Drosophila melanogaster: one gene and its partner. The protein of the gene in region 2 interacts with the protein of the main gene of each other region in a pairwise test. Each region holds a gene or a part of one and is shown on either strand. Other genes may lie near its edges. The genes, in order: gdrd and CG14384.

What was found.
Region 1: the proteins of CG14384 (region 2) and gdrd interact in a two-hybrid assay, tested with the Drosophila melanogaster proteins (one large-scale study listed by BioGRID).

Annotation. Positions count from the first base shown.
Region 1 is NT_037436.4:14,689,641-14,692,462, reverse strand, and holds gdrd (goddard), read right to left. Parts: upstream 1,117-2,822; 5' UTR 1,035-1,116; coding exon 693-1,034; 3' UTR 501-692; downstream 1-500.
Region 2 is NT_033777.3:12,965,438-12,970,115, forward strand, and holds CG14384 (uncharacterized protein), read right to left. Parts: upstream 2,276-4,678; 5' UTR 2,164-2,275; coding exon of another isoform or gene 2,017-2,163; intron 1,942-2,016; coding exon of another isoform or gene 1,723-1,941; intron 1,312-1,722; 5' UTR 1,166-1,311; coding exon 1,116-1,165; intron 1,040-1,115; coding exon 592-1,039; 3' UTR 501-591; downstream 1-500. Other genes in the region: grsm (granny smith), read right to left, coding at 1,723-1,941, 2,017-2,163; Cyp304a1 (cytochrome P450 304a1), read left to right, coding at 6-335; CG7381 (uncharacterized protein), read right to left, coding at 2,746-2,846, 2,908-3,060, 3,125-3,256, 3,326-3,730, 3,794-3,913, 3,984-4,103, 4,194-4,678.

The DNA of each region.
Region 1 (2,822 bases), on a different chromosome or scaffold from region 2:
TTAATGCCGCTGCAACGGCATTTTATGGCAAATTATGTTTGGCTTCATTTCCACTGATAAGTATCGGACTTCAGCTTTCTGTCGAAATTTATCGCATATAATACGTTTTGCCAATATCTCGAGCGGCAGACGACGAACTTGAAGAATGTCCTTTCTTATTTATTGCTTTTAACATATTTGTTTGGCTCCAAGGCAATTCGTCTTTCTATGTGAATGTGGCGAAAGGCAAATGCAAATTTCAGTCTCAAATTTTCCGACTTTGCAAAGTTTTCGACAAAACAAAAGGCCCCCTGACAATATGCAGCTGCTCGAAATTGCTTGGGGTAACATTTTTGAAGGGCGGTCAATGAAAAGTTTATTATGCGCCGAAAAGAAGTCCACAAAGTTTGTGGACCGAATGAAAGCAAGTTTGGCAATTGTGTGTGGAGGGCCACTAATAAATTGCAAATATCGTTGAAAATAGTTTAGATTATGGCGATAAGGGCAGTATACAATGTATTGCTTTTGCTCATTGCTCAGTTTATTATATGCGCTTAGTTTTCGAATCCTTGGCTTGTGTTAATGCATAATTTTTTAACAATTAACTCGGGTCTGTTTGTGATTTGTTAAATGGGCTTCAATAACAATAACAATAAATAAATACAATAAATTTATACATTTTTGAAAATGAGAAATATAAAAATGTTCTTATATCATTGGTTGGTGGTTTCGTTTTCTTGTTCGACGTTTTCAAATCGCATTGGATTATCGCCTCCAGCCAACTGGTCGGCGTTTTCGCCAACAGGTACGGATGGAATTCGAGCATGGAGCTTCCTCTTCATCTGGACCACGGCAGAGTTGGCCATGCTAATGCGATTAATGATTCGGTTCAGACGCTCCTGAATGTTCGAGAATACCTGCTCGGAGAAGCGAGCGTCCTCAGAGGTATCGAGAGGCCCCACTGCAGTTGCTTCGTCACTATTGTTTTGGCTACCTTCTGTATAGGGCTCGTAGCTTTCAAGGTCTTGGAATATATCAGATCCGTCGTCCGACATTTTGACAAAAAAAATATATTTCAGAAATTTCAATAGTTATTCAGGAGCTGTGAACTAGAACAGACTTAAGTGCAAACAGATCAAAGACAGAATTTATACTGACAACAAAATCGAGAGCAGCATGTTTGATATAGTAACTCTATACAATAAACAATAGTATTAATCCAAACTCCATAAATATGAGTAGATGGTCACAACGTTGAAACATTTTTAATTAAGCGACACATCAAACTATATTTTTTATTTAAAACCAACGTTTTAATTATCTTCAAAATTAAGAATAGACGGATTTAAAACCTCTTAAGAAATCGCAACCCACTTGGCATGTAATCATGTGTGAAATGTGTTCAGCAGGGTCATAAAATCAGAAATCAATTAAAGCAATTTAAGAGCGAGGAGAGCAAACGATACGGATATGGATGTCGAGAGTCGAAAGTTGCCAGGGCACAAGGCAAATAAATCTCTGAAACGACTCTGCCAAAAAGGACGCACTTTGGGTGGCAGTGAGGATAAAAGTTTCCCCACAGCTGAACGAGGCGAACGAAATCAAAGTCTATAACTTAACGACTGCAATGAGAATGATGCTGATGACGATGTCGACGATGTGAAACGCCCTCAAGGTCCACCCCATTCCGTCCACCCGTTCCACCCACAGCCCGCCACCATTCGAGGAAAATCCGTACGCAGAAAAAGAGAGACAAAAGCCGAAAAGGGAGGAAATGCAGCATTCATTCTCTCGCCATTTTCCCCTTAACCCTCCCCTTTTCCCATGGCTCTTTGCCATCATTCTTTCAGTGAGTTTTTCGCCTCCATGTGCTAAATATTTGCCAGCCATTTCTTTATTTTTCTCTGGCCTTTGTCGCCAAACTGGATTCCCATCTTGATACCCATCGCTCTGCCACATCGTAATAAAGCAATAAATCTGCTGAGGAACTGCTCCTCATAAATTCCGTTACGCATAAAAACACTTACAAATGACTTTTTGTTCAATGGAATAAATGGCATGGCACTACACACATACTAAGATGTATATATGGAGCTGTAGCTGCGAATGCATGTTCATGACTGCACCAAGTTAAATTCACACACTTGGCTTTCTATATCTTCCGGGATTCGCTGAATCCTCTATTGATAATGCCATTTGGCATTTGGCTTGTGGCAAGGCTTTGACTTTTGCGACGTCTTTCACTTTATGGGCTTTCTATTGAAAACTCGTTGCGCTGCTAAGTAGGCAACATTTTTCAGCTCGCTCTAGTTTGTTCGCTTGTATCTTCGGGCGTAATAAACTACGGGATAAATTAAGTTTTTGTAAATAAGTGTAGGAATCTGGTGAAAAAATGTTGTAAAGAAATCCTGTCACTGAAGTTAAATTACAAATTAAAAATAAAATGTACTCGGAATAAATAAATAGTTGATTAAGAAATATAAGAAAGCCATACGTTTAATATTTAATATTTACAATACCCAACTCATTATATGTTATAACAGTTAAAGCTCTGTTTTTTATATTTCACAGAATCATAACATAAAACTCGTTACGAGTTTTATCGACATTTTTTTACGCACATATTTCACATTAAATATTTAAAATAACAGCTCGCGATCAATCTAAATTAGTAGAGATGTACATATGAAAAAACCCTCTAAATCCCTACCCTTGTTTATGCCAAGTGGTCTCATGCTGTTGCCTAATCTGCTGTCCAAATCACTCTTGCAACATGTTGCACGACCAACTAATTGATGATATAATTGAATGTTCAGAGACCATTTCCCAGTTCGTTAGGCTCT
Region 2 (4,678 bases):
TACAGGACACCATTGTCGTGCCCAGCCTGTATGCCTTCCACTCGGACGCCCGTATTTGGTCGGATCCGGAGCAGTTCCGGCCGGAGAGATTCCTGGACGCGGATGGCAAGCTCTGCCTGAAACTGGATGTCTCGCTGCCCTTTGGAGCGGGAAAACGGCTCTGTGCCGGCGAGACATTTGCGCGCAACATGCTCTTCCTGGTGACAGCGACCATGTGCCAGCACTTTGACTTCGTCCTGGGCCCCAATGATCGGTTGCCCGATCTCTCCCAGAACCTCAATGGACTGATTATTTCGCCACCAGATTTCTGGCTGCAACTACAGGATCGGCATTGAAAGTAGCCAAGATATTAGAGTTATCTATTTTTAAGACAAAGTAATTTTACTGATTACGTTAGCTAGTTTGCTTGGATATTTTTTGAGGAATTTTATTCCGTCACATTTCAAAAATATTCTAGAATTGCCCAATACTATTATGTGATGCACCACAACGAACTATTTATTTTAACATTGTCGTTTACTCATATCGTGTGGTATCAAAGTTCGCGAACGGAACTTGTTGAGAAGATGCGATTGGAATGAGATGGGTTTCTTAGAAATCCTCATTATCGCTGTATACAATGCAATCAGAATCTGAGCTGGTGGATGAAAAACTCAATGAGCGAACCAGCGAGACCATCGAAGAATGTATTGAGGGATTGGGGGACTGGATAGCATTGTACTCGGATTCTGAATCCGGATCGTATCCTTCCTCATCGTCCATTTCCTCTTGCGGGTTCACGAATGAGTTGTCCAAAGGATCCACCTCGTTGGCGGCTTCCATCGTTGCACCCTGAGTCTCATTGCGCAACTCGATCACTTCTTGGCGAATCTGGTTCTGCTCCTCCGCAATGGTGGCCACCAGTTGTTCGAGACTGCAGATCTTGGCCTCATATTCGGTCAGTTTCTTCTTCAGCTGACAGTTTTCGGCCCGACAGTTGGCCAATTCCAAGCAGGCGCACATGGCGATCTTGACGTCATCCGAGGTTGCGGACCTGGTACTGTATGCAAACCACATTGTTACCACAAGGAACACATACGCCGGATATCGAAAGCGATCTCTTGGCCGAAACTTACATGTTTAAGCCACTGGAGTTCTTATTATGAACCGGGCAATTGAGGGACATTTTGAGACTTGAAATTTATAGGCAGTTCAGTTTAGCAATTGTCTTACGACAAAATCAACTTTGACCTATTTGTACTCGGAAAGTTCACCCAGAAATATTTGACACTGTTTTACTGTTCTCTTCGATTCGAATGCAAATATGAGCTTCTGAAATACAGAAATTCAAGGTCCCTAGATTTTAATCTCCATTTTAAATGGGTCGCAAATCGAATATAAATCAAAAGATACAGTCAAATTACTGCAGATTGTTTTACTAGCCGAGCTGATAACAAAAATAAAATAGCAAACTGCAAGATAATGTGCAAACACTTTGACCAAAATGCCCTTATCAATATTAAGACAATTGAGTGGCAACAAAAAAAATAGAAAATAGAGTTGAAAACAAGGTGATAATTGTTTGGTTACGAAAACGACAACTTGTTCGCTATGAACCCAGTGTTTAAAATTCACTATCAAAACAAGTGAAGTTGACATACACATGAAAATATATCTTACTTAAAAGTAACTTTTATAAATAATAAAATAAATGTTAATATTATTTAAACTACTGGCACTTACGCCTTTTGGTGACTTCATCAGCATGCATTCACGACTCGAGCGGTTGGAGCTGCTTTTCCGGGGACACCTATTGACGCTCCTTGGCTTGCAGGCCGGAGTCGTGGGCTTTCGGGAACACTTGGGCACTATTTTCTTGCGGCCGCATCCCATATGTTTGAGTTTCTCCGATTGACGCCGATGACGCGAAGTGGAGCTTTTGCTGAGACACCGTTTCTGGTACTGCAGGGTATTAACGAAGGGCAGAAGATAAAGTTCGCCGGTCAGGGGGAAAGTGTGTAATCCCTAGGAACTTACTTTCGATCGATACTGATTCTTTTCTCGCGAACTCAATGCATTCCAGTACCCCGCTCCCTGACGCAGTGACTCCTCCATTTGGAGGTGCGGGGATTTAAGATGTATAGCCACCGCGTAACTTAAAAAGCCGTTTGGATACGGTGCCATCTCTACTTATACTTTTCAACTAACGTACTGAAATTTAGGATGCTAAACTAAGAATTACGTACAAAACATTCGAGCTTGAAAAATTGAAAGGTACAAATTTGAGTTGAGTTGCTGTTGCTAACTGATAGAAGTGAAATCTCAAAACTACTTGTTTAATAATAATTGCCAGTTTCTGGATTTGATACACAACTCTTCGTTGGCCTTAGTTTATTATGATGTATATATTACAATTTGGTTAAAAACTGTTCGCTTAGCCTAGCAACAAGCGGTTTAACTTCAAAACTTACAGATAATTTGTCATTACACTTAGCCGTATTAGATAAGCGAGAGTCGTTCCGTTCCGAGGACCCTTTCTCCAAATTTATATTGCTTCGACTCCTAAATATCAACTTACGAACTAATTGATTTATATTCACGTTGCGCATGGACCTGCATCCATGCCAGTAACTTGGCTAATACTGGCCACTCCCGCCGATCCCCAAATCACCCCGATCCCCCCAAGGTCCTTGGCCAACTCCTCCCTCGATTATCCTCGCCATTCCCCAAACACGCAGGTGAAAGGATTTAGGTTTTGGTTTGGTTCTAGTAGTAGGCCTGCTTTATGGCCGCACTGGTGATAAGGAAAGCGGAGCCAATCAGCATGAAGGTGATGATTTTGAGAGCACTTGGTCTACCGGAAGAATCTGCGAAAAGCGTGACATTCATAGATCATCCTTACTCAATTGGTTTTGCAAGGACACTTACTTTTCTTATTGGGCATCACGCGAATGCATTGATTCTGATTGGCGTTCGCCGAGTAGCCCAGCTTGCACTGGCACACGGAGTTGCGGCACTCGACATTCTCGGGATCCTTTTCTACATAGCACTCGGTGGCCTTGGTGCACGACTCTCCCAGCTCTGCAAGATTGCAACATATTAGAATTATTACAAATAATTAAAGAAAGCTTAGCGACTCAATTACCTCGCTTCGTCTCACAGACTCCGTTCTTAGCATGCTGCTCATCGTTGCATCCACACTTGCCCTCCGAATTGCAGCTCGCCAGGAGCGGCTTGCACTGCTCATCCTCGACGCACTCGTCCTCCAGCTCCTCGGCTATAATGAAATGTAATGTGGGGCAGGGCATAATTTTGCTGCTTTGCATTTCAGCTTCTGAGTACTAACCCTCTTTTAGGCACTCATCCTTAAAGTGCACGTATCCCTTTCGGCACTGGCAGGTGCGCGACTGATCCTCCTCGTCCTTCTCCTGGCATTCGGTGTTCTCAGGTATGCAGTCATCCTCCACCGAGCAGTCGGCACCGATGCCACGCATACACTGATCGTCCTTCTCAAAGTAGTTGTCCGCACAAACGCACACGCGATTGGAGCAGACGGAGTGATCCACAGGACAGCCATCGTTCGACTCACACTCGGCTCCCAGGCCACGTTTGTATTCGCAGAGCTGCTTGATGGCATCGTAGAGAGCGTACTCCTCGCAGGTGCACCTCCTCGGAATCTCCGGGTGGCAATAGGAGGCGCCAAATGGACTGCATTGGCTGTTCGAGGTGCAGGATAAGTGGTATTGAATGGCTGTTTTGATGGAAAAGGATATATCTTAAGTGCGATTCAGCAGCTAGCGTTGGAACCACCTACGTTTTCTGCAATTGCGCAGATCCCGCTCGTAGAAATAATTCTTTTGGCAATTGCAAGTTTTGGTCAACTGATCGAACTCGTACTCGCACTCATCCGTGCTCTCCGCAATTTCCCCCAGTTCTAAAGAATTTTCATTTCAGTTAATTTCATTAATAGAAGAATTAAATTGGGGGAAACCCAGTTTACTCACCGGCAAAACATTTTCCATTGCGGGCATAGTAACCCTGGCGACATAGGCAAATATTCTTGGAACAAATCGAGTGCGGCAGACCCGAGCATGTCTTTCCATTATCCGTGCAGCTGCTGCCATCTAAATGGGAAAAAAAATAGTTGAAATATATTTAAGATTGCCTAAGCATTGAGAGACTTCATTTTTTTGGGGGCATTCTTGGATACTCACACTTCTTCTCATCGGCATCGTCGTCATCGCGGCTGGAACCCAGCGTGGAGTAGGTCTTTATATCCTCGTCATCGAATCGGAAGAGGGCGGGCAAGCGGCGTCTTTGGCCATGGGCGTGTCTCTGGTTGCGGCTGGAGTTGCGCCTGCTACTGGTGCTCGTGGAGGCGGTGGCTGTCGTTGTGGTGGTGGCGGTGGCCGCATTGCGCACACTTCGTCCCACCTCCCTCAGCTCGTACTTCTCGATGCTCGTCTGGACGGCAATCTCGTGGGATCGGGGCGAGATGAGCGGCTCGGTGTCGCCATTGGTGAGCTGGGCGAAGGACACCTGGGCGGCGGCATCGCTGTGAGTGGGCGGGGGGGCGTGTACAAAGGCCTTGGTTAGCTGCCTTCGGCTACTGAAAGCGGTCTCCTGTTCCGGATCGGCAGTCTCGGTGATCGCCTCGGCTGTGGTTGAATCATCATCCTCTGGCGAGCCCGGATTGGTG